3 linked regions of the Drosophila melanogaster genome follow. The protein of the gene in region 1 purifies or fractionates together with the protein of each later gene. This does not show direct contact. Each region holds a gene or a part of one and is shown in the gene's direction. Other genes may lie near its edges. The genes, in order: SuUR, His1:CG33825 and Rif1.

The links.
Region 2: the proteins of SuUR (region 1) and His1:CG33825 purify together in Drosophila melanogaster (affinity purification with western blotting, with the first as the bait; one study listed by BioGRID). This does not show direct contact.
Region 3: the proteins of SuUR (region 1) and Rif1 purify together in Drosophila melanogaster (affinity purification with western blotting; one study listed by BioGRID). This does not show direct contact.

What each region holds. Positions count from the first base shown.
Region 1 is NT_037436.4:11,062,719-11,069,525, forward strand, and holds SuUR (suppressor of Under-Replication), read left to right. Parts: upstream 1-2,272; 5' UTR 2,273-2,449; coding exon of another isoform or gene 2,450-2,656; 5' UTR 2,657-2,676; coding exon 2,677-3,004; intron 3,005-3,111; coding exon 3,112-3,311; intron 3,312-3,377; coding exon 3,378-3,556; intron 3,557-3,642; coding exon 3,643-5,824; 3' UTR 5,825-6,307; downstream 6,308-6,807. Other genes in the region: CG32075 (uncharacterized protein), read right to left, coding at 56-105, 185-405, 469-683, 744-1,743, 1,803-1,942; CG45101 (uncharacterized protein), read left to right, coding at 2,450-2,656; CG6310 (uncharacterized protein), read right to left, coding at 6,413-6,588, 6,650-6,807.
Region 2 is NT_033779.5:21,465,803-21,475,062, forward strand, and holds His1:CG33825 (histone H1), read left to right. Parts: upstream 1-5,456; 5' UTR 5,457-5,615; coding exon 5,616-6,386; 3' UTR 6,387-6,479; downstream 6,480-9,260. Other genes in the region: His1:CG33822 (histone H1), read left to right, coding at 573-1,343; His2B:CG33896 (histone H2B), read right to left, coding at 1,750-2,121; His2A:CG33823 (histone H2A), read left to right, coding at 2,348-2,722; His4:CG33895 (histone H4), read right to left, coding at 3,199-3,510; His3:CG33824 (histone H3), read left to right, coding at 3,805-4,215; His2B:CG33894 (histone H2B), read right to left, coding at 6,793-7,164; His2A:CG33826 (histone H2A), read left to right, coding at 7,391-7,765; His4:CG33893 (histone H4), read right to left, coding at 8,242-8,553; His3:CG33827 (histone H3), read left to right, coding at 8,848-9,258. UniProt on the Drosophila melanogaster protein: Histones H1 are necessary for the condensation of nucleosome chains into higher-order structures.
Region 3 is NT_033778.4:15,861,088-15,874,319, reverse strand, and holds Rif1 (Rap1 interacting factor 1), read left to right. Parts: upstream 1-5,172; 5' UTR 5,173-5,313; coding exon 5,314-5,415; intron 5,416-5,500; coding exon 5,501-7,982; intron 7,983-8,043; coding exon 8,044-8,330; intron 8,331-8,418; coding exon 8,419-9,798; 3' UTR 9,799-10,011; downstream 10,012-13,232. Other genes in the region: sli (slit), read left to right, coding at 1-30, 643-785, 855-941. UniProt on the Drosophila melanogaster protein: Regulates the timing of initiation of DNA replication. Functions in copy number control by promoting the underreplication of DNA, which is found in many late replicating euchromatic regions of salivary gland polytene chromosomes.

The sequences.
Region 1 (6,807 bases):
TCTGGATCTAGTACTAGTTTTTATTAATTACTTTATTTAATATTAATCTGCGTATTTATTGAGCCCAAGGGAGCACACCCAATGCACATTTGGGCCAATCGGTATCTGGAAATAGCATTTACAGTAAGAGCGATAATTGATTAATTTTCAAATCACATAAATGCAAAGCCAAATCAAAACTTACGCTTGTCTAATTTCCAAACTCCCCAGTCTGATGTATGCTCTTTGCTTTGAGCTGCTTGTTCCAAAAATCGTTCCAAACGGTCTAGATTGTTGCTCTCCTCTGAAGAGCTATCTTCTTCCATAGCTTCCTCTTCATAAAATTCTTCAAGCTGTGCATCGCAGAGTTTAGTTAAATCCTCAATTTGCGTCTTGGTGTATGGAGGATCTGCGAGCGGTAATAATCTAAGAAAATGTCAATCTTATTAATCCAAAAGCAAGTAAACCCAAAAAAAAATGTATACCTACCCTTTTAGAATGGGCGCTGAGTAATTGCTAAATGCATCAACACGCTGCATAATAAAATCACGATCAAAAATCAAAGACCTGGACTTTTTGGGATTGTCGCCAAAAATAAGGGTAACCGAGAGATCGGCATTTGAGTGTACTAACAGACTGCGCATTGTCTTAGAAATTTTATCCGTGTTTAGGGTGGCAAAGTCCGCTGGTTTTAGTTTATCGTTCTGGAAAATAAAGAATATTTTAGTGTTTTCATCGTTAACACACTCCGTATTTATACTAACCAAATCCAGTTCGGCTTTGTACATGCGCTTCATACGGAACAGCATCCCAAATGTTTCCAACATTTTCTTTGCCCAGTAGCTGGCTCCCAGACGCCTTTGCTCCGACTCGTTTTGGTTTTCACTCAGTTGAACTAGGGCCAAAAAAACCTTCTCGATATATCCCTGCACGGCCAATAGACGGAAGAGTCCCTGTGTGGCTGCAATGATGACATCCTCGTTGTCGTCGATTTCCAAGCCAACGCCAAGGAAGTATTTCATTTTAAGCAGGCATTTTGTATATATGTCCAGCAGATCCTTCATCGATGATGACTCCTTTTTGACCAACGCACTTAGATCACCTAACACAGCACTCAGAATTTCTTTCGATGTCTTCGCCTTCTTGCTGGAGGAGTAGACTCGTATCTTATTGAATTCACCACTGGATTTTAGCTTGCTAATGGCCTTTAGTTTCTCAGCCCCCTTGATATGGCACTCCAGGGTTAGATCGTAGATCTCCAGAAGATCTGTCACAGCCTTTTCAAACTTAAGCTTGTCCTTGCGATGCAGTTTGCCAGCATCCAAATTGGACATGGTTTCCATGTGTGGCAACCAGTAGTAGGTGCGCAGCCACTCCAGACAATGATTCGAGGTGTTTCTCAGCACCTCCACAGGCGGCAGCTCCTGTCCATGGGCGCACAAGTGGCGCAGATCAACGATGAACGACTGGAGGCCCAGTTCCTTGGCCGTTTCATACATGCTGGACATGTTGTGTCCCTGGATAATGGAGGACATAAAGTTGTAGAATCGTGTAAAGGCACTGGCATAGGTGTCCTGTATTTTGGCGCTGCCCTCCTGGTCCTCCAAGTGCGCCTGAACAAGCACCGATGTGGCCAAAACCGCTGCCGGGCAGAGACTTCCTCTTCGCAGACACCAAATGCGGATTTTACTGAGCGCTTGACGCCATGTGGCTGGTGTGTTGGACTTGCCAAACAACCATTTGTACGTTGTATTAAATTCCAGCCTGAAAATGTAATGTTTTTATCAACGGATTGGATTTGTTTCCACTTTTTGTCTACGCACGTGTCTCGCCAAGGAGTGACCACAGTTCGTTGTTTTACATTTGGTGGCGGTGTGACAGGAACAACTTTGGCTTTCTGCTGTTTTCCCTTTTCAGGGCTTTTCTTTTTTGCCTCAAATTTTTCCTTCTTTGCAACAGCCATGGCAATTTGGTCTGAATAAATTTAAACAAATTCCATGCGAAACAAACCGCAAACGAAATCACAACAGTTGCAACAGTGATGAGCTAAATGCAGCTATAAAAATGAATTCCTTACACAAGTTTTGAGTTGGCAGAATAAATAATTTAATTTAAAAACATTTTACTCGCCAAAGGTTTCCAACCTAATGTATTTTACTAATCCTTGTCGGTTCAGTAAGTTTTTTTTAATATTTTGCTATTAATCAAGAGCAGTATCTCTTTTGGCTATTTCTAGACATTGCTTCGTTTGCCAACACTACCAACGTCCAACAGCTGATCGCGCCAACAAGACGCAGCCGGTTCTGTGTGAATGGTGAAATAGAATTGGAGCCAAAAATAATATTTTCTTCTTGTTCGATTGTTAAGCCTTTTCCCGCGCCCCCGCCATGACTAACAGCGCTTAACCCAATTTCCCAAAAGGGACGAAAATTGTCCTCCGAAAAAATTGAAGCTTAACTAGTTTCAACACATGTACGAGATCCAACATCCTGTTATCATCAACAACAACTACAACGTGGTGGACATACTGCATCCGGAGAATATCGAATTCGATGGGCCGTCTGCGGCGCGAAAGATGATAATTGGTTCATTTTCGATGTTCGTGATCTTCTCGTACCTGCAACTATTCTACATCCTGGTTGCCATCTATCTGGCCCTGCATCACGCACACCATTGATTCGAATTCTCTGAAGGATCATGTATCACTTTGTATCCGAGCAAACGCCGGAGGTGCGGCTCACAGATGAGGCACTGGTCACGAGCCACGTGACGCAGTACCTCAAGAGCTTTCAACTGGATGCCGTCCGCTTCGTCTACGATCGTTTGGCTAAGCGGGAATTCTGCATCCTGAATGATGAGAGTGGCCTTGGAAAGGTCGCTACGGTGGCGGCACTTCTAAGTGCCCTACCACCCGCCAAAAAAACACTTGTGGTGCTCCAGAACGATGAGCAACTGCTCACCGGTTGGCGATTCCATTTGGACACTCTCACTGACCTCCAGGTGTACATCATTCAGGGGGTGCAAGGTAATGCCTAATATTTAAATGGATTTGTTGATAAGAATGTTATCGTAATTTCACATTATTGCCATTTAAAAATTAAACTTCAACACCTTCACTTTCTGCCTTTACAGATACCACCGACTCCCCGCACAGCGTTTACCTGGCGAAATGGAGCCAACTACGGAGCATTGGAGATCTCAGTCGCCTCAAGTTCGACTACATTATGGTGGATAATCGGGGGCATTCGCTGAACAACAGCTTTTGCACTTCCATGCTGCTGAAGCAATTCGAGGGACGGGTAAACGTTCTTATCTCCAGTGTTGACGTTACGGTGAGGCAATGCATTCATAATATGGTTTATATCATTTTAGCTTATGTGGTTTCTCTCTCTCTGCAGTCCGACGTTAGGTTGCTCTACAATGTTCTACGGTTGGGCGGCCGACTGGAGCATCAGTACAAAAGCTTTGCGAGCTTCGATCGAAAATTCCATCTGCCAGATCCGAAGGAGGTATTCAGTAAGCGCATAGATCTCGAGGAATACTACAAGCAGCGGGGATTCCTCAGCGAGTACATCAAGTAGGTGAACCAGCAACGATCAGTTTCACTGTTGCATAAGACCGGAATAGTCAGTTGCATATGAAAATAACTTATATAATTTGTAGGGACTTTCGTCTGCGTCGTTTTCGTCATCAATTCGACAAGTCACTGCCACTTGTCGCACCGGAGCAATACAAACACAATCTGAATCTCTGGTTGGCCTCAAAGAACAGCCAGAGCACAATAAGCGGCTCAGATGTGTGCTCTACAATCGCTTCCATAGACAACAATCCGGCTCAGCAAAATAAAACTGGGCTCTTTGAAGAAACGGATAGGTTATCCGAGCACAGCGTGGATGATGTGGCAATGTCACCGCTGATATTCGAGTATTCCGAGTCTGACGATGAACCCCTAACAGTAGAACCTGATGCAGATCAAAACCCGGTATTAGTTGTATCCAGCGATGATTGTGAGATTGTAACACCTCCAAGTACTCCGCAAAATCGAACGCCCTCATTAAATGAATCACCAAGGACGAAATCAAAGAAAAAATTTAGCAAAAAAACGTCACCGCGCAAAAAAGCTGATCTCACCGATTCCGAAGAGGATGATGAAGCGACCGATAATATGCCGCCAAGGAAGAGAACTCGTGCAGCCACCGTTCATCTGACACCTAAGACAAGGAGACTCAATGTTCGAATTTTAAGGGTTTCCCTCGATACTCTGAGCACACCACCACCGTCCAGAACCACTACTGCGATCGTAACGCCCAAAACGGAGCCCACAGCTAGAAGAAAAAATCTGAAAAAGCGCACGGTGAGCCCAGTGGATGTGGGTCGTCCAGCCACAAGGGGAATGCAGCGCCTAACACGATCCGCTGAAACAAAAATAAACAGTAAGTACTTGAAACATCGCTCATTGGATGATGTCAAGCGTAGCTTTCCAAGGAGAGTCAAGTTGGAGGGTAACCAAACGCCCAGAAGTAGCAAACAAATAGTGAAGCAGGAGCCTAAGTCTAAAGTCGGGCAGGAAAAGAAACAGAAGACGGTGGATGTACCTGCTCAAGGAACTGCGAAACGAAAGCCTGGACGTCCGAGAAAATGCCAAACCAAGACTGAAGATTTGGGGAAGACAAAGACTAAGCCGAATTCAAAGCACTTGCCACCTACTCCTCAAGTTCTCAGTGGTAGCTCGTTGTCCTCGGAGTACATGCAATGTGCTCAGCGAATACCAGACAATTTGGATGCCATTGAGTCGCCCGCTTTTCGTGTGCCCTTTACACCTCAACAAACTCCAATGCTTCTAACCTTGCCGTCTACACACAATTTGCTCAACGATTCTGAGGTGGTGTCTATTCCGCTTTACAAAGATCCAGTTGAGACAGTGGTGATCAATAGCTCGCACGATGAGTGTTCTCCGCAGGATCCATCGCAGAGTCGTCGCACCAAGGCTTTGAAAAGAAAACGCAAACCCGTGACGTCCGTCAATTCAAGTTTCGGCGGCGGATTGGGTCTACCACCGGCCAAGAGGAGTGCCAACAAATCTCCAGATCTATTTAGCATATCCTCGGAACACTCGCAGATTCCGCTGGCGCAACCAAGACCCTCATCGCCCTTCGAAGGCTTTAAGATCTTTGGCTCTGAGGTGAAGCAGTTTCAGCAGCAGCTAGCGAAAGTAAATATATCGGTGCCAAAAAAGAAGCGAGATCGCTCGTGTTTGGATATCCTGGAGCAAATGTTCGAGCCACGACAACAGCAGTCGGCTAAAACTAGTCCCAAAGTCTTGCCAACCTTGCCACTGACCCAGAAGGATGATGCAGAGTCTACCATTACGCAGAGAAGAAGAACCCTGCTGGAAGATGACTTCTTTGAGATAACGAACAATGGCCAATTTGGCAGTCGCATGCGATTGAACTCCTCTGGCGAAGTATCGCCCGTGCAACCGGATCAACAGTCCGTCAGGCCGTCGCAGGCCAATAAAATCACCAATTATTTGATAGGTTCTGGAATTACGCAGGAGCGAACGCAACCTTCGAATGGTAATCGCAATTCCATTCTTGCATCGCTGCGCAAGTCACCCAAATCTCCCAAACAGGGTGCTAAATCCACTCAGGCCACGAAACTAACACGCTGGTTTGGCTCCGTCTTCGGCGGTGGAGCCTCACAGACCAGCTCCGTGGAATCGGTTAGTGCACCAAGTACGCCGGTGAATTCATCCACAAGTGCAGCAGCTTGTCAAACGCGATCGGCGAGAAGTGGTGGAGCATCAGGACCGACCAAAAGAAAGCGATTGGAACTGTTCAAGTGATGAACAGCAATCAATGAAAATGACAAAAACCAAATCAAATCAAATCCAATTATTGAATATATAATGAATGAAGGAATATATAACATATAGTACGAAATCAAAAGTTAACAGCATCCAAATATGAGGTTGTAAAATCAAATTGCACAGGACCGTCTAGCTAATTTAGTTAAAATTATACTTTGTGTGCGCATTTTGAAGAGTAAGGTTACCATAAAATTGAAAAGACACTGCATAATATTGTATGCGTATCTTGTAAGTAGATATAATTGGTAAATTATTAGTTCACAAGTTTATCTAGTTTCTCAATTCATTTTCCAAAATGTGCCACCTGATTTAGACGTGTTTTTTTTTTTTTAAATTATTTCAATACGCATTCAAAGTGTATTCAACAATTTTAAAGTAACGAAAGATATCGTTTTTAGAAGCAAGTACCGTGTAATTTTGTATCATCGTTAAATAAACACAGGGTTTACATTTAAAAACAAAGTATTGTGTGTGTTTTTTTTTTATTAGGAATTAAGATTATTGGTAGGTAAGTCAATTAGTTGTTTGCACATATGATTTAAATTTGAACTAGATCCTGGTATGCTATCCTCTCTGTTTTCCGAATATTATCGTTAAGTTGTGCATCACCGCCTGGCGCTGGAACTCCAGTTCCCGCCTACACATGCCGCCCAAGAGTGGTGGACACTGATACTGGATGTTCTCCTGGGCAAAGGTATCACCATTGGAGTTTCTGAACGTGAATTCACTCAGTGATTGTACTGCAATAGAGATTCATTTACGATTAGCGAGGGCATTCATATCACTTCCGTCTTATCTTACGGCAATAGAATCCGGCAAAGAAGCAAGTCTGATGCGTGGACTTAATGGCATAGGCCACGGGCGATACTCCGGGTAATGACTTGGTGACCACGTACTTGGCCGTAGCCGTATTCAGCCAGTATGGCCAATGGGATAGTCGCTCTGTGTACTGCACCGTG
Region 2 (9,260 bases), on another chromosome or scaffold:
TTAATATTATGTTATTTAAGAAAGTATCTGTATTTTTAACGATCGAAAATTATTTCTGAATGCTGCTTTAAAGCAAATTTTTCTGTAGTTCAATGTGAACTTAAATCAAGTGATAAAGTATCTTAATTAATAATAGACGCTTCTTTCAGAAGCCCTTTCTAGGGGATGAACGTTTCAATTTTAATAAACATTACGAATTAGTGAAATATTTGCGATGATTCTTATTTTATTAGATGTTTTTTTATAAATTGGTCCAGTTAAAAATTCGAATATAAAAATTCAATCAACATTTGAAAGTCTCAAAACCCATATTACATCCTTTTAAAAATGGAAAGTGACGAAAAAATTATTTAAAATTGTAAAACTATTAAAACCTTATTTTTATTAATGATTTAAAATACTAAAAAATTAAAAAGAGTTTACACTTCAAGCAAACTTCGACATAGTAAATGACTGATGTCAGTAGCATTGTTAAAGTGCTCTCCTCCTCGATTCTCATCAGAGCAAAGGAGGTTGGTAGGCCGAGCGCGAGCCATTTTTAACAGAAAAAAAGTGTTCTCAGTGAAAAAAAGATGTCTGATTCTGCAGTTGCAACGTCCGCTTCCCCAGTGGCTGCCCCACCAGCGACAGTTGAGAAGAAAGTGGTCCAAAAAAAGGCATCTGGATCTGCTGGCACAAAGGCAAAGAAAGCCTCTGCGACGCCGTCACATCCGCCAACTCAGCAAATGGTGGACGCTTCCATTAAAAATTTAAAGGAACGTGGCGGTTCATCACTTCTGGCAATCAAAAAATATATCACTGCCACTTATAAATGCGACGCCCAAAAGTTAGCGCCATTCATCAAGAAGTACTTAAAATCGGCCGTGGTCAATGGAAAGCTTATCCAAACTAAGGGAAAGGGTGCATCTGGATCTTTCAAACTGTCGGCCTCTGCCAAGAAGGAAAAGGATCCGAAGGCAAAGTCGAAGGTTTTGTCTGCTGAGAAAAAAGTTCAAAGCAAGAAGGTAGCCTCTAAGAAGATTGGTGTCTCCTCCAAAAAAACTGCCGTTGGGGCTGCTGACAAAAAGCCCAAAGCTAAGAAGGCTGTGGCTACCAAAAAGACTGCCGAAAATAAGAAAACTGAGAAGGCAAAAGCCAAGGATGCCAAGAAAACTGGAATCATAAAGTCGAAGCCCGCCGCAACAAAGGCGAAAGTGACTGCAGCGAAGCCAAAGGCTGTAGTAGCGAAAGCGTCAAAGGCAAAGCCAGCGGTGTCTGCAAAACCCAAAAAGACGGTGAAGAAAGCATCGGTTTCTGCTACCGCCAAGAAGCCGAAAGCGAAGACTACGGCTGCCAAAAAGTAAATTGTGAAAAAGTGCAGTATTTGGTACATGTTCGCAATTAAAATTTTAGATTTATGTTTTATAGATCTGAAATTTGTTTAAACAAGTCCTTTTCAGGGCTACAACGTTCCGTTGCAAGAGAAAAAAACTTTTATTTTCTTCCACTTATTTATTAGCTGACGTTCGCAGCAACAATAAAACGTTTCATGTCATGAATTACATTGCATGTTGGTCGCATTCAGTTTTCGTTCCCGATTTTTTTGTATTTATTTGAACATTACCCAATTACCCATATTGCGGGTAAATAAGTTTTATTTGTAAATTCATATTCAATGATTGGTGGTTGAAAAATGCATTTCTTTGGTATAACACATTGTGGCCCTGAAAAGGGCCGTTTTGGATTATTGTCCGCATTCGCAGGAGAAAATTATTTAGAGCTGGTGTACTTGGTGACAGCCTTGGTTCCCTCACTGACAGCATGCTTGGCCAACTCTCCAGGCAAAAGCAGGCGAACAGCCGTTTGGATCTCCCGACTGGTGATGGTCGAGCGCTTGTTGTAGTGAGCTAGACGAGACGCTTCGGCAGCAATTCGCTCGAAAATATCATTTACAAAGCTGTTCATTATGCTCATCGCCTTCGACGAAATTCCGGTGTCAGGATGGACCTGCTTGAGAACCTTGTAAATGTAGATGGCATAGCTCTCCTTCCTTTTGCGCTTCTTTTTCTTGTCGGTCTTGGTGATGTTCTTCTGAGCCTTGCCAGCCTTCTTGGCTGCCTTTCCACTAGTTTTCGGAGGCATTGTTCACGTTACTTATATTTTCACAAACACAATTCACTTATCGTAATGTGGGCCCGAACGCGTTCACGTTTATACTTTTTTTCGAGCAGTCAATTCAGGTCTAAGTCACCCACCCCTAACTGAATGCGCAGGCAAACGGAAAAGTATAAATATTTCGCTGTCTGGGTTAGGCGAGCATTCGTGTTCCGTGCGTAAAGTGAACTAAGTGAAATAAACGCAAAGCAAAATGTCTGGACGTGGAAAAGGTGGCAAAGTGAAGGGAAAGGCAAAGTCCCGCTCAAACCGTGCCGGTCTTCAATTCCCTGTGGGCCGTATTCACCGTTTGCTCCGGAAGGGAAACTACGCAGAGCGTGTTGGTGCAGGCGCTCCAGTTTACCTAGCTGCCGTAATGGAATATCTGGCCGCTGAGGTTCTCGAGTTGGCTGGCAATGCTGCTCGTGACAACAAGAAGACTAGAATTATTCCGCGTCATCTGCAACTGGCCATCCGCAACGACGAGGAGTTAAACAAGCTGCTCTCCGGCGTCACAATTGCACAAGGTGGCGTGTTGCCTAATATACAGGCTGTTCTGTTGCCCAAGAAGACCGAGAAGAAGGCCTAAACGTTTCAAAGGCTAAGCTAAAAACCTACATGTACATAAAATCGTCAATCAAACCGTCCTTTTCAGGACGACCAAATTATTACCAAAGAATTGAAAAATTTTTTAGCTTGGCAATTTGTTGTAATTAGTAAATCATAAAGAATTATTAACGTAAAGATGGTAATGTAGTAAGGGTTTTCTACTATATGCGGTATAAACTATAATTTGCTTCTTTAAACAATCGCACACCACGATGTGATGCTGTACATGCGGTGTCTGAAACCATTTGTACAGTCTGTACAAATCCATGTTAGAAATATACACATTCTATTTGAAAGAGTACGAACGACAGACATTTATTTTTAGTTTAACATATTTTTTGGGAGTCCCGACCAATAAAATTAAATACTTTTTGAAAATCTTCCTCCTTTTAAAAACTGAATGGTGGTCCTGAAAAGGACCGATTGCTTAATAGGGGTACACAGGATGTACACTTTTTAACCGCCAAATCCGTAGAGGGTGCGGCCTTGCCTCTTCAGAGCGTACACAACATCCATGGCTGTAACTGTCTTCCTCTTGGCGTGTTCCGTGTAGGTCACGGCATCACGAATTACGTTCTCCAAGAAAACCTTCAGAACGCCACGCGTTTCCTCGTATATGAGTCCAGATATGCGCTTCACACCGCCTCGACGGGCCAAACGGCGGATAGCAGGCTTCGTGATACCTTGGATGTTATCACGCAGTACTTTGCGATGACGCTTGGCGCCACCCTTTCCCAAGCCTTTGCCTCCTTTACCACGACCAGTCATTTTTCACTGTTCTATACTATTATACACGCACAGCACGAAAGTCACTAAAGAACTAATTTCAACGTTTCTGTGTGCCCCTATTTATAGGTAAAACGACAAAAACCCGAGAGAGTACGAACGATATGTTCGTTCGCTTTTCGCTCGTCAAATGAAATGGCCTCTGTTTTTCTCTCTCTCTCTCTCTCTTTCACCGTCCAGGATTGCTATATAAGTAGGTAGCAAATGCTCTGATCGTTTATTGTGTTTTCAAACGTGAAGTAGTGAACGTGAACTTTAGTGAAACCCAAATCGGAGATGGCTCGTACCAAGCAAACTGCTCGCAAATCGACTGGTGGAAAGGCGCCACGCAAACAACTGGCTACTAAGGCCGCTCGCAAGAGTGCTCCAGCCACCGGAGGTGTGAAGAAGCCCCACCGCTATCGCCCTGGAACCGTGGCCTTGCGTGAAATTCGTCGCTACCAAAAGAGCACCGAGCTTCTAATCCGCAAGCTGCCTTTCCAGCGTCTGGTGCGTGAAATCGCTCAAGACTTTAAGACGGACTTGCGATTCCAGAGCTCGGCGGTTATGGCTCTGCAGGAAGCTAGCGAAGCCTACCTGGTTGGTCTCTTCGAAGATACCAACTTGTGTGCCATTCATGCCAAGCGTGTCACCATAATGCCCAAAGACATCCAGTTAGCGCGACGCATTCGCGGCGAGCGTGCTTAAGCTGACACGGCATTAACTTGCAGATAAAGCGCTAGCGTACTCTATAATCGGTCCTTTTCAGGACCACAAACCAGATTCAATGAGATAAAATTTTCTGTGGCCGACTATTTATAACTTAAAAAAATAAGAACAAAATTCATATTCTATTATTTATGGCGCAAACGGTACTGGGTCTTAAATCATATGTAAAAATACTAATTCTGCCAGAGAAGGAATAAAAATAATCTTATTTTAATTGTCAGCTCAACATTTATTAAATTAAAGAAGAGGTTAATACAAAAATATATATTTTTATTTGTTCTTTGTGCGAACATCCTTTAAAGCAGTGAAAGTGTCGTGCGGGGCAAGGGACTCTGAACCTTAAACATCTAAAAAAAAAATCTGAATTCTGTGTAAGACAGTTTGAAATTAATGAAATTACATTGATGACGGCAATATTTATAAAATAACAGAAAATAATAAAATAAAACTAGCTATTTTATATTTTTTCCATGTGTTAACTGAAGAATGTGTTATTATTGAAGAGGTCGTACGGGACAATTGACACTGTCCCTTCAAACGTCTGTAAAAAATAAAACCTATGTAAAATTCAGCACGGAAATTGGTTAATTTTGTTGCGGAATGTAATATATATTACATAATAAAGGATAATACAAAAATTGTTTCTTTTTATTTTTTATTTGATTTATTTATTTGACTACATAGACGGTAATGCATATGTGGCGAGGAAATCGATTGATTTCAGAACAAATTATTTTAAAATATGCATGAAAACACATTAATAACAAGCAAACACATTAATAATTTAAGAAAATATTATTTATTATATTAATATTATGTTATTTAAGAAAGTATCTGTATTTTTAACGATCGAAAATTATTTCTGAATGCTGCTTTAAAGCAAATTTTTCTGTAGTTCAATGTGAACTTAAATCAAGTGATAAAGTATCTTAATTAATAATAGACGCTTCTTTCAGAAGCCCTTTCTAGGGGATGAACGTTTCAATTTTAATAAACATTACGAATTAGTGAAATATTTGCGATGATTCTTATTTTATTAGATGTTTTTTTATAAATTGGTCCAGTTAAAAATTCGAATATAAAAATTCAATCAACATTTGAAAGTCTCAAAACCCATATTACATCCTTTTAAAAATGGAAAGTGACGAAAAAATTATTTAAAATTGTAAAACTATTAAAACCTTATTTTTATTAATGATTTAAAATACTAAAAAATTAAAAAGAGTTTACACTTCAAGCAAACTTCGACATAGTAAATGACTGATGTCAGTAGCATTGTTAAAGTGCTCTCCTCCTCGATTCTCATCAGAGCAAAGGAGGTTGGTAGGCCGAGCGCGAGCCATTTTTAACAGAAAAAAAGTGTTCTCAGTGAAAAAAAGATGTCTGATTCTGCAGTTGCAACGTCCGCTTCCCCAGTGGCTGCCCCACCAGCGACAGTTGAGAAGAAAGTGGTCCAAAAAAAGGCATCTGGATCTGCTGGCACAAAGGCAAAGAAAGCCTCTGCGACGCCGTCACATCCGCCAACTCAGCAAATGGTGGACGCTTCCATTAAAAATTTAAAGGAACGTGGCGGTTCATCACTTCTGGCAATCAAAAAATATATCACTGCCACTTATAAATGCGACGCCCAAAAGTTAGCGCCATTCATCAAGAAGTACTTAAAATCGGCCGTGGTCAATGGAAAGCTTATCCAAACTAAGGGAAAGGGTGCATCTGGATCTTTCAAACTGTCGGCCTCTGCCAAGAAGGAAAAGGATCCGAAGGCAAAGTCGAAGGTTTTGTCTGCTGAGAAAAAAGTTCAAAGCAAGAAGGTAGCCTCTAAGAAGATTGGTGTCTCCTCCAAAAAAACTGCCGTTGGGGCTGCTGACAAAAAGCCCAAAGCTAAGAAGGCTGTGGCTACCAAAAAGACTGCCGAAAATAAGAAAACTGAGAAGGCAAAAGCCAAGGATGCCAAGAAAACTGGAATCATAAAGTCGAAGCCCGCCGCAACAAAGGCGAAAGTGACTGCAGCGAAGCCAAAGGCTGTAGTAGCGAAAGCGTCAAAGGCAAAGCCAGCGGTGTCTGCAAAACCCAAAAAGACGGTGAAGAAAGCATCGGTTTCTGCTACCGCCAAGAAGCCGAAAGCGAAGACTACGGCTGCCAAAAAGTAAATTGTGAAAAAGTGCAGTATTTGGTACATGTTCGCAATTAAAATTTTAGATTTATGTTTTATAGATCTGAAATTTGTTTAAACAAGTCCTTTTCAGGGCTACAACGTTCCGTTGCAAGAGAAAAAAACTTTTATTTTCTTCCACTTATTTATTAGCTGACGTTCGCAGCAACAATAAAACGTTTCATGTCATGAATTACATTGCATGTTGGTCGCATTCAGTTTTCGTTCCCGATTTTTTTGTATTTATTTGAACATTACCCAATTACCCATATTGCGGGTAAATAAGTTTTATTTGTAAATTCATATTCAATGATTGGTGGTTGAAAAATGCATTTCTTTGGTATAACACATTGTGGCCCTGAAAAGGGCCGTTTTGGATTATTGTCCGCATTCGCAGGAGAAAATTATTTAGAGCTGGTGTACTTGGTGACAGCCTTGGTTCCCTCACTGACAGCATGCTTGGCCAACTCTCCAGGCAAAAGCAGGCGAACAGCCGTTTGGATCTCCCGACTGGTGATGGTCGAGCGCTTGTTGTAGTGAGCTAGACGAGACGCTTCGGCAGCAATTCGCTCGAAAATATCATTTACAAAGCTGTTCATTATGCTCATCGCCTTCGACGAAATTCCGGTGTCAGGATGGACCTGCTTGAGAACCTTGTAAATGTAGATGGCATAGCTCTCCTTCCTTTTGCGCTTCTTTTTCTTGTCGGTCTTGGTGATGTTCTTCTGAGCCTTGCCAGCCTTCTTGGCTGCCTTTCCACTAGTTTTCGGAGGCATTGTTCACGTTACTTATATTTTCACAAACACAATTCACTTATCGTAATGTGGGCCCGAACGCGTTCACGTTTATACTTTTTTTCGAGCAGTCAATTCAGGTCTAAGTCACCCACCCCTAACTGAATGCGCAGGCAAACGGAAAAGTATAAATATTTCGCTGTCTGGGTTAGGCGAGCATTCGTGTTCCGTGCGTAAAGTGAACTAAGTGAAATAAACGCAAAGCAAAATGTCTGGACGTGGAAAAGGTGGCAAAGTGAAGGGAAAGGCAAAGTCCCGCTCAAACCGTGCCGGTCTTCAATTCCCTGTGGGCCGTATTCACCGTTTGCTCCGGAAGGGAAACTACGCAGAGCGTGTTGGTGCAGGCGCTCCAGTTTACCTAGCTGCCGTAATGGAATATCTGGCCGCTGAGGTTCTCGAGTTGGCTGGCAATGCTGCTCGTGACAACAAGAAGACTAGAATTATTCCGCGTCATCTGCAACTGGCCATCCGCAACGACGAGGAGTTAAACAAGCTGCTCTCCGGCGTCACAATTGCACAAGGTGGCGTGTTGCCTAATATACAGGCTGTTCTGTTGCCCAAGAAGACCGAGAAGAAGGCCTAAACGTTTCAAAGGCTAAGCTAAAAACCTACATGTACATAAAATCGTCAATCAAACCGTCCTTTTCAGGACGACCAAATTATTACCAAAGAATTGAAAAATTTTTTAGCTTGGCAATTTGTTGTAATTAGTAAATCATAAAGAATTATTAACGTAAAGATGGTAATGTAGTAAGGGTTTTCTACTATATGCGGTATAAACTATAATTTGCTTCTTTAAACAATCGCACACCACGATGTGATGCTGTACATGCGGTGTCTGAAACCATTTGTACAGTCTGTACAAATCCATGTTAGAAATATACACATTCTATTTGAAAGAGTACGAACGACAGACATTTATTTTTAGTTTAACATATTTTTTGGGAGTCCCGACCAATAAAATTAAATACTTTTTGAAAATCTTCCTCCTTTTAAAAACTGAATGGTGGTCCTGAAAAGGACCGATTGCTTAATAGGGGTACACAGGATGTACACTTTTTAACCGCCAAATCCGTAGAGGGTGCGGCCTTGCCTCTTCAGAGCGTACACAACATCCATGGCTGTAACTGTCTTCCTCTTGGCGTGTTCCGTGTAGGTCACGGCATCACGAATTACGTTCTCCAAGAAAACCTTCAGAACGCCACGCGTTTCCTCGTATATGAGTCCAGATATGCGCTTCACACCGCCTCGACGGGCCAAACGGCGGATAGCAGGCTTCGTGATACCTTGGATGTTATCACGCAGTACTTTGCGATGACGCTTGGCGCCACCCTTTCCCAAGCCTTTGCCTCCTTTACCACGACCAGTCATTTTTCACTGTTCTATACTATTATACACGCACAGCACGAAAGTCACTAAAGAACTAATTTCAACGTTTCTGTGTGCCCCTATTTATAGGTAAAACGACAAAAACCCGAGAGAGTACGAACGATATGTTCGTTCGCTTTTCGCTCGTCAAATGAAATGGCCTCTGTTTTTCTCTCTCTCTCTCTCTCTTTCACCGTCCAGGATTGCTATATAAGTAGGTAGCAAATGCTCTGATCGTTTATTGTGTTTTCAAACGTGAAGTAGTGAACGTGAACTTTAGTGAAACCCAAATCGGAGATGGCTCGTACCAAGCAAACTGCTCGCAAATCGACTGGTGGAAAGGCGCCACGCAAACAACTGGCTACTAAGGCCGCTCGCAAGAGTGCTCCAGCCACCGGAGGTGTGAAGAAGCCCCACCGCTATCGCCCTGGAACCGTGGCCTTGCGTGAAATTCGTCGCTACCAAAAGAGCACCGAGCTTCTAATCCGCAAGCTGCCTTTCCAGCGTCTGGTGCGTGAAATCGCTCAAGACTTTAAGACGGACTTGCGATTCCAGAGCTCGGCGGTTATGGCTCTGCAGGAAGCTAGCGAAGCCTACCTGGTTGGTCTCTTCGAAGATACCAACTTGTGTGCCATTCATGCCAAGCGTGTCACCATAATGCCCAAAGACATCCAGTTAGCGCGACGCATTCGCGGCGAGCGTGCTTAAGC
Region 3 (13,232 bases), on another chromosome or scaffold:
AGGGCAGCACTGAGCCCCCAACAGTCACCGGTACATACATCTATCATGCTTTTGCTACTCACAACTCACACCCGGGTGTACACCATTCACTACTAACCAAAAAATATGACATAACTGAGTAGGGCATTTAAGATCTATATAGTTTTGTTTTGACTGTGAATATGTGGTAAAAGTAGATGGGTACTCAGCTTAATTTTTCAAAAAGAATTGTAGGCTTAAAATTCTCAAGAAAACAAAACCAAACAACCTCATTGAAAAATTTAGAATTACGGTACTAACGTGATTTTATTTAAAAAAAAAGGTACTTATATCAGAATCGCAATTTCATAAATAGCCAAGAAACACGGCAGAGGTGTTCACCTCACTCTTAAGCGTTAATCATATGGTGGCACATGCTAAATATTAATACTACACCAGCAAGCTTTAATTATTGACACATATACGCACACGCATATTCATGACATTCGCTTTTCACGCTACTCATCCATCAAAGGGAAATATCGTGGGGTTTTTGATGGGGGGGGGCGGAGACGACACTGTGCACTTTGTTAGTTCTAATTATCCGACCGCAACTCACGTTGCAGCCACTGCCTTAGCTCGCCGACTAATTGCGTTCTGTTGACTCTTTCCTTCCACCCACAGCGGCGTCCACCTGTCGCAAGGAGCAGGTGCGCGAGTACTACACGGAGAACGACTGTCGCTCGAGGCAGCCGTTGAAGTACGCCAAGTGCGTGGGCGGCTGCGGCAACCAGTGCTGCGCGGCCAAAATTGTGAGACGGCGCAAGGTGAGTGAATCTGAATATACAATATGTCCTGGTGTTTAAAACTAATCAATCTGCCCGTTTTGCCTACAGGTGCGCATGGTGTGCAGCAACAACCGCAAGTACATCAAGAACTTGGACATCGTGCGCAAGTGCGGATGCACCAAGAAATGCTACTGACTGAAAGATGCGACTACCCAATTGCTCGAACGGAGCAATAGCAGCTTAGATGTTAGTTTAGGAACAGGTTTAAATCTAACTTATAGTAGTAGTTATAGTAACGATAGTCTTAGCCATAGCACTAGGGATAGCACGGATGTTAGGGGGACGAAGGATGAAGCGGAGGAGAGTGCTGACGCGGGGGAGACAACGGAGGAGGTGAGGGACGAGAGTGATGATTACCCCACGGACGGCATGCAGTCCGATCTCTACGACGACACCATCGATGACGACGATGACGATGGTCTCGATGATGATTATGCAGACGAGGAGGATGGGGAGGAGGATCCAGAGCAGCTTCCCGATCCCAAAGGTCTGGTAAGTGTGCCAGATGAAGAGGAAGACATGGGTTACGACGAGGATGACGAACGTATCGCCATGGAGCGGCCAAGAACGGTTAGACCCAGGCCCGACGAGGAGCATTTCCTTAACGAAGAGGGCAGTGGTTTCGGCGGCTTTCGATCGCGATTCCGGCCGAGCAATAGCTTCCGCGAGACTCAGCTGGAGAATATCCGCAAGAAGCTGCTCACAGAAGCACAGGCGGCTCCGGAAACGGCTGTTGCGGTGGCCGTGCCGAGCACTGCGATAGATCTGCGCGAGAGCAGCGGCCACTTTGCCAACGATGACGAGGATGGCGAGGACGGCGATGACGGCGTCGATGACGAGTTCGCCGACACGGGGGAGAACCAGGGGCGCGGCTTCTTTGGCTCCCAGCAGCAACAGCGCAAGAACGGTCCGTATCACCGCAAGAACGGCAACGATGCCATCAAAATCATCTCCACGCCGCTGGGCAAGGTGAGCATTGTGTACCAGCAGACGGACAAGGATCAAAGTCCGGACAAGGATGCGCAACAGCAGCAGCAAAAGAAGCCGGCGCTCACCGACTTCGACGCCCTGTCACCGGACCCCGAGAGCAGTCATCGCTTTCCGTCGCCCCACCCCAAGATTACACCTGTTCTGACGCCCGATGGCAAGGTGGCGCTGCTCTATCGCGGAGACTCGGAGAGCTCCAAGTACGAGCCCATACGCAACCTGACGCACAAGTTTTCGGGACAGCCGGCCAAGGAGTCAAAGCCTAAAACCGAAGATTCCTCCTCGGCGGAGGACTCTGTCTACACGGACAGCGAGGATACCGAGGACAGTAAAGGTGAAACTAGTGCTGGAAAGTCCTCACCAGTGGCCTCCACGCCCAAGCCACTGCAGCCAGAGATTTTGGAGCCTCCAGATAACGTCCAGCCAGGAGGGTCATTTATAATTCGGCCCACCTCCGACTCGCTTCTGCCGATGATCAACAGGCCACTGTCCGAGGTTCTGGGCATCAAGAAGAACCAGTTCCAGGAGACCCGGGTGCGTGACCAATTGCCCACGCAACAGCCTCCGCCTCCACTGCCGGAGGCCACGTCCCGTAGTCCCGCTTCCGGACATCAGTTCCTAGCCAAGGTGAACCTGGCTGAGTTCCCGACATCCGGAAGGACGCTCCAGACGCCGCTGATCCCCAGCACCCACGACTTTGACTTCAGCCGTGACAACACGATGCTGGACGAGCGGTCGCGGGTGCGTGAGTTGGAAAAGCAGCGGGAGCGGGACAAGGAGCACAACGAGGCCACCAGCAAGGGAGCCACCGAGGCACACACCATAGCCAACGAGCAGCTGCTCTCCAAGACGGAAGTCATCAATCTGGCCATTGTGCCACAGTTTGACGAGGACTTGGAGCGTCTACAGCGGCTGCAGGAGAATGGTGGTCGGCGCCACCATAGGGCGCGACATCGTCATCGGCAACAGTCGGAGGAGGAACTGTCTGGCATCCATTGCATCATGCAGGTCATGATGGGCGTGGCCGCCGTGTCGACGGTCTTCGGCATGCTGGGCACCTTCTTCAAGCAACGCATCCTCGATCAGCTGCGCATGATGCACTGGTAGTACAACAAGGGGGATTCGATTTTCGGTGTCGAATGCCCCACATCCCCCCACCCAATCCCCGTTTCCTGCATCGTCATGATCATCATGCAGTCTATGGAGGCTGGCTAGCTGCCTTCGGGATGCAAGGTCCTTCTTCTACTACTAGCACTCATATACTCGAATATATACTCGTACTCGTACCATATGCCATATGCCATATATTAATCGCATAATCTATGTAACACAGCGGCATCGATTTGCTTTCGTCCCCTTCCGCTTCCTTATATATATTTATATATACATTTATATATCTATCTTATCCTTCGACATTGTGCTCGCAAATGCGGACACTTCCTTGCTACACATGTATTCTATATATTCGCATATATCAATTTACTAGTGCAAGCTACCCAGGCGATGTACATAATAACAGAACCATAATACGGCGATCGATCGATCCGGATATCTATGTATTTATGTGAGACGCAACTGTAGCCCCTGCCACACTCCGCCGGAAATTAGCTGACCCACGTCACTTCTTCCCCGTTCCTTCTTTCGCACGTTGTGTGCCCTATTTTCCCCTCCCATGTAGGACATTCTCAATCACATCAGCGTATACAAGCTTTAAGCAAGTCATTGCATGTGCCACGCCCCCTCGAACTGAACTGAACTCAACGCCCAACCCGCCCAGCATGAGTCCCGCAGCAAATACATTCCCTCCATCCCCCCACCATCCGTCATCCGCCAGAGGAACCAGTCGAGGAGCTCGGAAATTGAACGTAGAACAGATTCCTTTTGTAGATAGAAAACGAAACAGTTGTTGGGAGATGGTAACCAGACGAATGTCGAATGACAAACGATAAATAATGATAAACTAAACTAAAGTTCTAAACAAAACAAAACACAGTAAAATCGCACAGAAGCGCACGCATTACAAAATACAAAAACCTGCAACGGTCGTTTTAAACGCTCCGTTCAGTTGTCTCAAAGAAACGAGTAAACGATAATAAGTGCATAACGAAAACCTTCTTTAGTCTAAGTTGCTCAAAGGATAAAGTATTTTGATAGAACCGGAAAGGATCGAGAAACAAACCAATAAACCACAAAGAATCGAATTGAATCGTAACGAAACAAAGGCCCCAAACGTGTAACGAATTTCCAACAAATTGTTGCAAGTGTTTTCCTAGAATTAGTCCTAATTAAACTAAATGTGTGCAAATCGAAGCGTAACTAATATTACAATTAATCTAAACTAATTGAGGAAACATAAACCTAAACATAAATCGGATAACAACATCTAAGCTGGGTAGTCGCATGTAAATCTCTAACAATTAACAATTACCGACCTAAGTTAGACCTAAAAATCGAAACAAAATCGAATCGCATTTAAAGAAATCTACATAATAATAATAATTTATACTAATCTATATATACTTATATGTATGCTGTATGTATGTATGACCCTATATGTATATGTAAAATGTTTTTGACTATTTTTCACTATTTATATTCATATATATTATATATGCATATACGATACATGTGTAATAGCCCCTTTTGGTCATTTTAGTTGTCTTTTATATATATTTAATACGTGTATTATTTTTATTAATTATTCAAGTATAACTATGCGCACCAATTAAACGCATACCTTATGTATAACCTATTGACAAATATATATATATATATTATGTGTAATAGCTGTTGCTAAACCAAGTTTAATTATCAGTTTTTTATTTAACCTTTTTCCGGCGAAGCTTTCGACGGTTCACAGCCGCAAAATTGTGTTCAGCTAATTAATTAGGAAGAGAACGTGTCCCGAGCAATAATGGGGGAAATGACAATTATAATATTCATTTCTGTGTGTAACAATTATTTCCTAATAAAATTGACAAAGAAAAATGTTTAAAATTAAACGAGTTTGTGTTTTGCAACTATGTCGATCCATAAAAGGTGCAGATTCTGTATGATTTGCAATTCCACGTTTTAAATACTTTTTAGCTTGTAATTGGGGAGTTTAAAATGTTTAAAAATCCAATTGAGTCCCGCCAGTTACAAAGTTATTTTACGGAAATCAGTTGAGGACGGCGGTTCTTGAGCTCTACAATATCGAGTAAAAAGCAATAAACGAGTAAAAGCTAAAATAATAATAACGGTAGTCCTTTGTGATGTTGCTAGGATTTTAAATTTAAATTATTTTTAACTTCCGGCGTTGCACAAGTCTGGCAACTCTGAGTTTCACAATTTTGGTATTTTCATACTGTCGGCGATAACTTGTCGATGACATATCGACCTGCTTTTGCCACCTCTAGCCATAGCAATTCGCGCGCTTTTTTCTTCGACAGTCTTTAAAACTGCGGGAAAATAACTTGTGGCGTTCGCAGGCGGAAGAAAATAATATAATTAAATAAGCGTATCATCCAGCGTACGAGCCATGGATGTAGACTTCGGCGCGCAGGCGGGGCAGTCCTACCGCACGGTGCAGCTTTCCGCGAAAGAAGTGCTCGCTGCTGGCCGCCGTCAGCATTATTGCAACGTAAGTAGGGCACCCAATTGCAGCGCCAAGTATGTATCTCACTATAGCTCCGGCCCCCCACCTATATTTCCATGTGCACCACCAGATGATCGACTTGTTGGCCAGCAGCTGCAAAAGCTCCGGTTTGATAGCCACTTCCTTTACGGATGACGAACTGGTGGAGTTCTGGCTGGGAGATATCCTGCCGCTTATGTTCGATGCGGACCGAAAGATCCAGGACTGTGCCGTGGCAGCTCTTGCGGAGGCACTGGTGGCTCTTGACGTGTCCGTTATCCACTCGGCCAAGTGCTGGCCTCAGATCCGCAGTGAATTTGTCGACAAATACACCATCATCATCGGGGAGATGCGCGATGCTAAGAACTCCAACTGGCACAAAATATGGACGCTGCTGGTACAAATCATGGACGAGGATTTGCTCAGGGGCTGTGTATATATCAACAAATTCTTGGCTCTGGTTGAATTGGGCTTCCGCAACCCGGATAATGGTGTGCGGTCGGAGGCATTTCTTTGCTGGCGCGTGCTCATCAAGATCTTTGCCGCCTACGACGAACTGACATCCGCGAAGAGGCTTCGTTTGCTGCTGATCCCCCTGCGCACTTCACAATCGCGATCCTCGCACGTGAGTGGCATCAAGTTGCGAGTGTGGTGGTATCTGCTCAGCTGCCTGGACCACGAGTTACCCAAGTCTTTTGACAGCGCCGTGGAGCACTTTTTGGCTTTTATGCTAGGCGGAGGTCCACGAAATCTGGCTACGGGTCTGGCGCACAACTACCAGACGGCTCGGGAGTTGGCCCTGCCCTGCCTTGTGGCCCTTTGGGGCGTGGAGTCCAGTGAACCGTTGCAGCGTCTAATGAGAGAGCTACGCTTGGAGACCTTGGTCCAGCCCTCGCCTCTGATGAGCGTAGAGGTATTCCAACAGCATTGGAAACCTCTTTTGGCCGCTGCCGTTTCCGGTTTAAAGTTGCTTACCGAGAACGATGCCACAGAAGCGGAACAACTCCTGCTGCAGTTGCTCGTGCGGAATCTGTGCCTTGCCATGTTTCGGTTGGCAGTTGCTCCCTTCAATGTGGCGTGCTGCAGTGAAATCGAGAAAATCCTGCAGGCTGAAGATAACTCCGGTGGCCGAGTTGTACGCGCTCTTTTCAATACCATAGCCGCAGATAACTTGGTAATGGAGCGTGTGTCTGGAAGCGACCATCTTGATGTTCTGGAGGCCTACTTGAAACTTGTACTGAAATCCAAGACAGAAGTTCCGGCAGCAATTCTGCAGCGAAGTATCGCATGCATTTTCGCAGTCGATCGTATCGAGGCGAACAATCAGAACGAGTTCCGGATGCTGGGCTCCTTCGCTGAGCTTCTGATGCAGGCCAACGACGAAGAGGACTTTGAGGGATTCGCATTCAAGCTGCAGGTGTGGCGACAGGTGTCGCAGGCGTTGTCCAACTATCTGCGAAACAATGCGCTTGAATACCGTGTGGCACACAACGCTTCCCTTTTGGACACTTGGCTTTTATGGCCACTTCAGACACTGGCTGCCTTTGCGGGACGGCGTGCTAGCAACTCCTTCGATGCCTCTTTTTGCGATCAATGGCGCCAACTGGTAAACGCAGGCCAAAACGCGCCGGGGAGGAAGAAGTTCTTGACGGACCTGAAAGCCACACTTACAGACCTCCTAAAGAGCAAGGATGAACCGCTCTTTGCAGAGCTCTTCGATGCTTATGTGACCTCCTTAATCAAGTTTGGACTCTGTAAGGAGGCACCTTTGTATAAGGACGTTTTTGGGCTACTTCAAACCATTTTCGAGCAGCCCTCCTCCCAGAAAACGCTCGAAGCCTGTTTAAACACCCTCCGCAACCTGGTGGTGGAGTTGCGGCAAAACGAACTAATGGTAGTGTTCGATTCATTGAAACCAACATTGTCTTCTGGCATCCAGTGCTGGAATAAGATGAAGTGCGAAGGCGGATTCTTGGAGGAGTGGAAGCGGGGAATTCAAGAAAAGTTTCGCAAGCTACCCATGAAGACGATGGCCAATCAGCTCAAAGAACTCTTTAAGGCAGATGATCTCTTCGTGATCATCCCATCAGTGTGGAGTCTGAATCCAGAGAAGCTGACGGATCGTCAAAAGGAGCGCTTCGCTGAAAAGTCGGACATTCCAGCTCTGTACAATGATATGTCGCAGTCTCAGGACTCGGCTTCCATTAAGCCCTGGACCCCTAAGAAGGTGGTTATTGCAAAGAGCAAACAGGGTGAGCTGGCCTTAACCGGCAAGGATGACAACGGCGAGGTGATCGATATAACGGCCAGCGAGGAGTCTGAGAAGGAACCAGTGAGAGTTGACGTAGTTACACCCATCCGAAAGAAACCGGGGCGTAAGTCCCAAGCTCAAAAAGAACTCGAGGCCGCTGCCAGGGCTGCTTCTCTTGCCGAGGAGCCGCCAAAGCGTCAGACGCGAACACGGGCGGCTCAAAAAGAAACGGAACAGGTGGCTCAGCCACAGCCAGCGTTTGAACCACAGCTCAGATCGCCAAAGAAATTGCCACCGTCCCCGGTCGTTCAATCTACAGCAGGTACGTGAAACAAGTAACAGGTGAGCTAAGGATGTTAATCCCAACACTTGAATTTTTGCAGCTGCCGTTAAGCAGGCAAAGGTTGCAAAACCCACCCCCGTTGTGGTAATCGCGCAGAGCGAGGATCTTTTCCCGGAAGTCGCAGCTGAGCCAGAGCCTCAGCCAGAACCGGTTAAGAAACCCGACCCTGTTCCAGAAACAACACAACTGACCCCGCCTGATGTACCCTTGGAAGCTGTACCCTCTACCCAACTGCCTGGAAGCAGCGGAGATCCTGCCGCTTCTGCGGGGGCTGTGGCTGCCGGTGAGATGTCTCCAAAGAAATCAGGCACGCGAATATACAATTTGGTAAGTAAATCGCATTAGACTTGGTTAAAACGGTTACTTTATTACAATGTTTTTATGAACTTTTTTAATTTCCGCCTTCTTTTCGCAGAGCTCTCCACCTGATCGCAAGCAGACAAACAACTCCTCGAGTCCAACATTGCGGCCCAAGCCCACGGGACATCTGACTGGACGCGGTGCTCAGTTGATCAATATGATTCGCAACAAGAAGCTGGACGCTGCTTCCGGCTCGCCGTATGCGTGCATGTCTACTTCGCGCCTGGTTCACCAAGTGACGCCGGCCCGTGCCCAGGATCGCGCCGAGCAGGTGTCCACTCCCACCAGCGAGCTAAACGAGCTGACGGGCACGGATCACACTTCCACACCGATTCAGGCACCTCCCTCGAAGGATCTATTGGTGTTTTCCAAACGACTGCCATCCCCATCGGCCAGTCCCTCCGTAAGCATCTTGAAGCGCAAGCTACGATGCGAAAGTCTCGATGATGTTACTCTGGACTCGCCGGCTCTAAAGCGTAAGCGAGTTAGTTTCCACGACCCACCGGTGTCCGTCACCAAGGAGTATCTACGCGATGCTGAGGAGACGCGCAGCAGTTTGAAGCCCAAACGCTGTCTGCTTATGGACAAGGTGGCCCAGACCACCGAGATGCGCCAGGCGTTGAGGAGACGTGGTCGGTTAGACAGCATAATCGAAATAGAGCGTTTCGCTAGCGAACAGACGGCCAGAACAGCGACGACGGACAAGAGCCTGGACAAATCCACTGGCGAAGCACCCGAGGAGGATGCTTTCACCAGCTTAAAGTGGAACGACACAGGCAACGCGCACAACATTAGCATATCCGAAGAACCCGTCAAGGCGATGGAAGTGGAGTCTGAACTCGAGACAGCCGGCCAGGATCTAGCCATCATGGATCCAGAAGCCGCTCTTGATCTGGCGGTGGCGCAATTACCGCTGGAGTCGGTTTTGCAGCGCTACTTTGACAAGAGTCCGCTGAAGAGCGCCGGCATGTTGGCTAAGTTTCTGTCCGCCCAAATGACGGCAAACGAAAAACTTAAGACCAACGTGCTAGAGACTCTGTCGGAGAACCACTCCAAGGATTTCCTGGACCACGCTGTGCGCGAGAATCTGTCGTCGGTGGTGTGCGACCGCCTGAACCCGACCTCTGTGCTGGAGTACGTATGCGCCAAGTCCAAGATCAGCGCAAGTTGCCGCAACGGGCTGCTGGCCCAGGTACCCGAAATTCTGAAAAGCGGCCCACGTTCCGATTCTGAGCGCCTGGCCTTCGTACAACAACTGATGGTGCAGTGCAGCCCCGGTGACGACCTGCTCCTCGATCTCATTGACCTTCTGATGCGTACGCGTCGGGAGCGGAACAACAGCACCTCCACTCACATCTCCAAGGGCGTCGTATCCGCCGTTGGAAGCCCTGACAACGTGGCCGAGACCGCGGCCGACTCCTCATCAAACTTATAGATTGGACCTGACTTGAAATTACGAATGAAATATTAAGCACTTGGCCATTGAACTCGATTAAGTATGGGAAGTTCGATTGTAACTAGTTGGTTCTAGATAGTTAAGTTTAAATTGCATTATGTTTAAGATTTATATTATGCCCGTTGGTGTATTATGTTTTGCTGCAAAAACTTGCTTCATATTCTTACAATAAATTTAATATTTTATTATTATAAAAAGTAGAAAGTCATCAATATATTAGATAATATATATATATTGGTGGGAGAACTTATTTATTTTTAAGTACATCGATCATAATTCCTATAGATAAAGGAAAACAGCAAAAGGAACGAATTTGATAAGAAAACCCAGACAATTATTTTAACTTGTTTTCGAATTAAAATTAGTGTATTTAACTCTGGGAGTTCATATACTCAAAAGTCCACACTGCAGACAATGTTACCTAAAATCGTAATCGATTGCCATATAATCTAGGGAAATCTTATCAGTACGTCAAAAGTGACGTGACAGATACGTTTCCCATCAGGCAGATAAATAATTAGTATGATTTGTGTTAACTTCGTGTTAGCTATTCAGCGAGTTCAATGGTACATTGATCAAATATTGTCAGGTAATCATGATGGAATTGAAACGACTATTCTGAGTGATAAAGTGGTGCTGAATAGGTGTAGGGCATTCCAAAGTCTTAGAGTTGCGCTTTTTAGGTGCTTGTGATTATGCTGGATACTTTTGGGGGTCAGGTAGTGGCACCTTCAGTGGAGGGCAAGCTCCACGTAGAAACCTCCACTGGTGCCGGCCCAACCCTATCTGGTTGATTTGTTGTTCTGGTCGCGGCAAAGTCAAATTACCCCGCCATGTCCGCCGCATCCATTGATAATGTTCACGTGCTAGCAAACAACGCGTCGTCGCCGACATCGGCAGATAGAGATACGTCGACTGGCGACGCCGACGATCTTTAAAATATATACACTACACTATATGGCATACATGTGTGTAGGAATACGTCTACGGCGACGTCTTTCGCTGGCATTTGTGCAAATACTACAATATAATATTATGTTCCAACGTGGGCGGAGCGCTCTACACGCCACGGATGCGTGTTAGGTGCTCCGTCGGTGCTCCAACAAAGACGTTGGATACTTTGTATCAGTTACAGGCGGCGTGATAAGTGCGCTTTCGGCACAATTAGCCAGACGTTTTAATTTGGGAATGCCAAGGTCGTTTGTAGGTCTGTACTTAGCACTGCTGTTCGTAGGATCCCGATCGCCAAATCGGCGGATCTGGCCGCCCATATATATAAATAGCGATGGAAAGTTCTTGCCCAATTGCGCAAGTGAAACTGACCTACCTAACCCAGGCCATCTCGTGTACGATGACGCAGTCCGTCCGTACTTAAGTCTTCTGCTCCGTCTGCTCTCTGTCTGCGGAATCGGCCAGCCAGTCAGCCGATCGAGAGCACAGTCAAATGTGTCTAACCCTCCCCTCGCAACAAAGATACTACATATTCATACGCCCCATGGACCGGTCGTATCCATATGTGATTCATTCATAAGCCGGGTGCCCTCGAAACGCGTGAGGCACTTGTGAAATGGCCTCTCTTATCAGGCGGTTAGTTCCCGAATCGATTTCGATGGCGAGCCGTGGAAATTCACGGAAGAGCAGCCTTGCTGGCCCGCGTTCCTATCAGCAGCACTCGCCGCATAATTGAATAATCTGAATCTGCCGAGCGAAGAGCGCGAAACAATAAAAATATCAGATACGCTGCCCGACCGCCGCCAGTTACAGAACAAATTCGCTGCGAACACAACGTGGGCGCATCTCGCAGGTGCCAAAAACGAGGTAGAAAGACAAAGACAAGCAAATGTGCGGGGGGTTTTTGAAAGCCACCTATATAGAGATCGGTTTATAGCCACATAAATATGTACATATATCCGTCGGGTATTTTGCTTAATTTTCGATGAAACAATTTGTGACACAGAATAAACTTGTATAAAAAAAACTAATGCTTATCGCATTCTTGGATAACACTTTTCAAAATAAAATACGGCATGTGTAAATAGTGTTGAAATGAGAAAATTGTTGGCTGTACTGACATAATTGCCTACATTTAACTATATTTATTTATGGTGAAGTGATTAAGGATGCTTGTGAAAATTGAATTAATTCTGGTTAAGTGTCAAAAACTACTGTTTGCACAAAAAATAAGAATGCTCGATATTCCAAACCACTTGGTACTCAAATCAAAACTAATTTATCCCATATGCATTAGGAAACGACAAAACTAAGGATATTACCGTGATATTGCAAAAAAGGAAAATCGAGAACAAGTAGCTGCTGCGCAGCACGAGAGTCTATCTAGCATCTTGAGATCTGCCAATTCGCTAATTAGCCGGGCCAAAACGGGGCGGATGGGTGGGAGGGCGTGGCACAACAGCTGATGGCGCCGAGCACGAGCCACAACGAAGTGCAGCAAAAGTTTTCTCGAGCGGAAAAAAAGCTGCATGCAGTGCAGTTTTCGCAGAGCAACAGCAACTGGCAAACCAAACGGACGAGACTCGCTACCAGTTCTCAGGTCATCAGTTCCAGGCCCGGAATCGAATTCGGATTCGGAATCGGATCAGATAGCATCCAGAGCACTAGGTGAGCTCAATAACCGATTTGCCTTGGCCGAGTGCGGATGCGGGTAGCGGCAAAACGACGGCGAGTGTCGCGGAAAAGTGACTCAAACTCTGATGTAATCATTTTCACATGCCATTACGGCCGCCGCTAAAATCGTTCCGTTCGCATTGCCATTGGCATACTCATTCCAATTCTCGCTGGTCGGAAATCGGGCGACTTCGGCTTTTCTGTGTTTCGCATTCAGTCTGTTGCTGAGGCGCAAAGGTAAACATGGTCACGATTCTACTCGAATCGGGTTGGATTGGATTGGATCGAATCAAAACGAAAAACGAATCGGTTTTGAGTCACTCAAATAGTGCGTCCAGCACGCAGCTGTGCGGATTACGTTCTGTTTTGTGTCCAGTATTCCGGATCCCAAGTTTCATATCTGTATCATTATCTGGCCGCCGCAGTATTGATTTAACACACATTCGGATTCCGATTGAACGATAGTTGGCCAAAAGCTTTACGCAAAAGCTCGCATCAGCTGTAAAAAAGCGCGGCAGAGAGCCATTGGATATATAAGCGAGAGAGAGCAAATGAGAGAGAGTGCAAAATAATTCGGAACTTAATTTGCTGTTTAATGCCAGATTTTATGGTGTTTGTGATATCATCAAATTCCTAGAGACCAAAGAGAGATATTTGTAAAACAAGTTTTAAGTTGAAGATTCGCAACTAGCTGTGTCACGACAATATCAAATAGTGCTCTCAATTATGGAATCCTTACTACAGAGCTAATTATTCAACTTCGTAACATTCTATTAAAGTTATTTTCA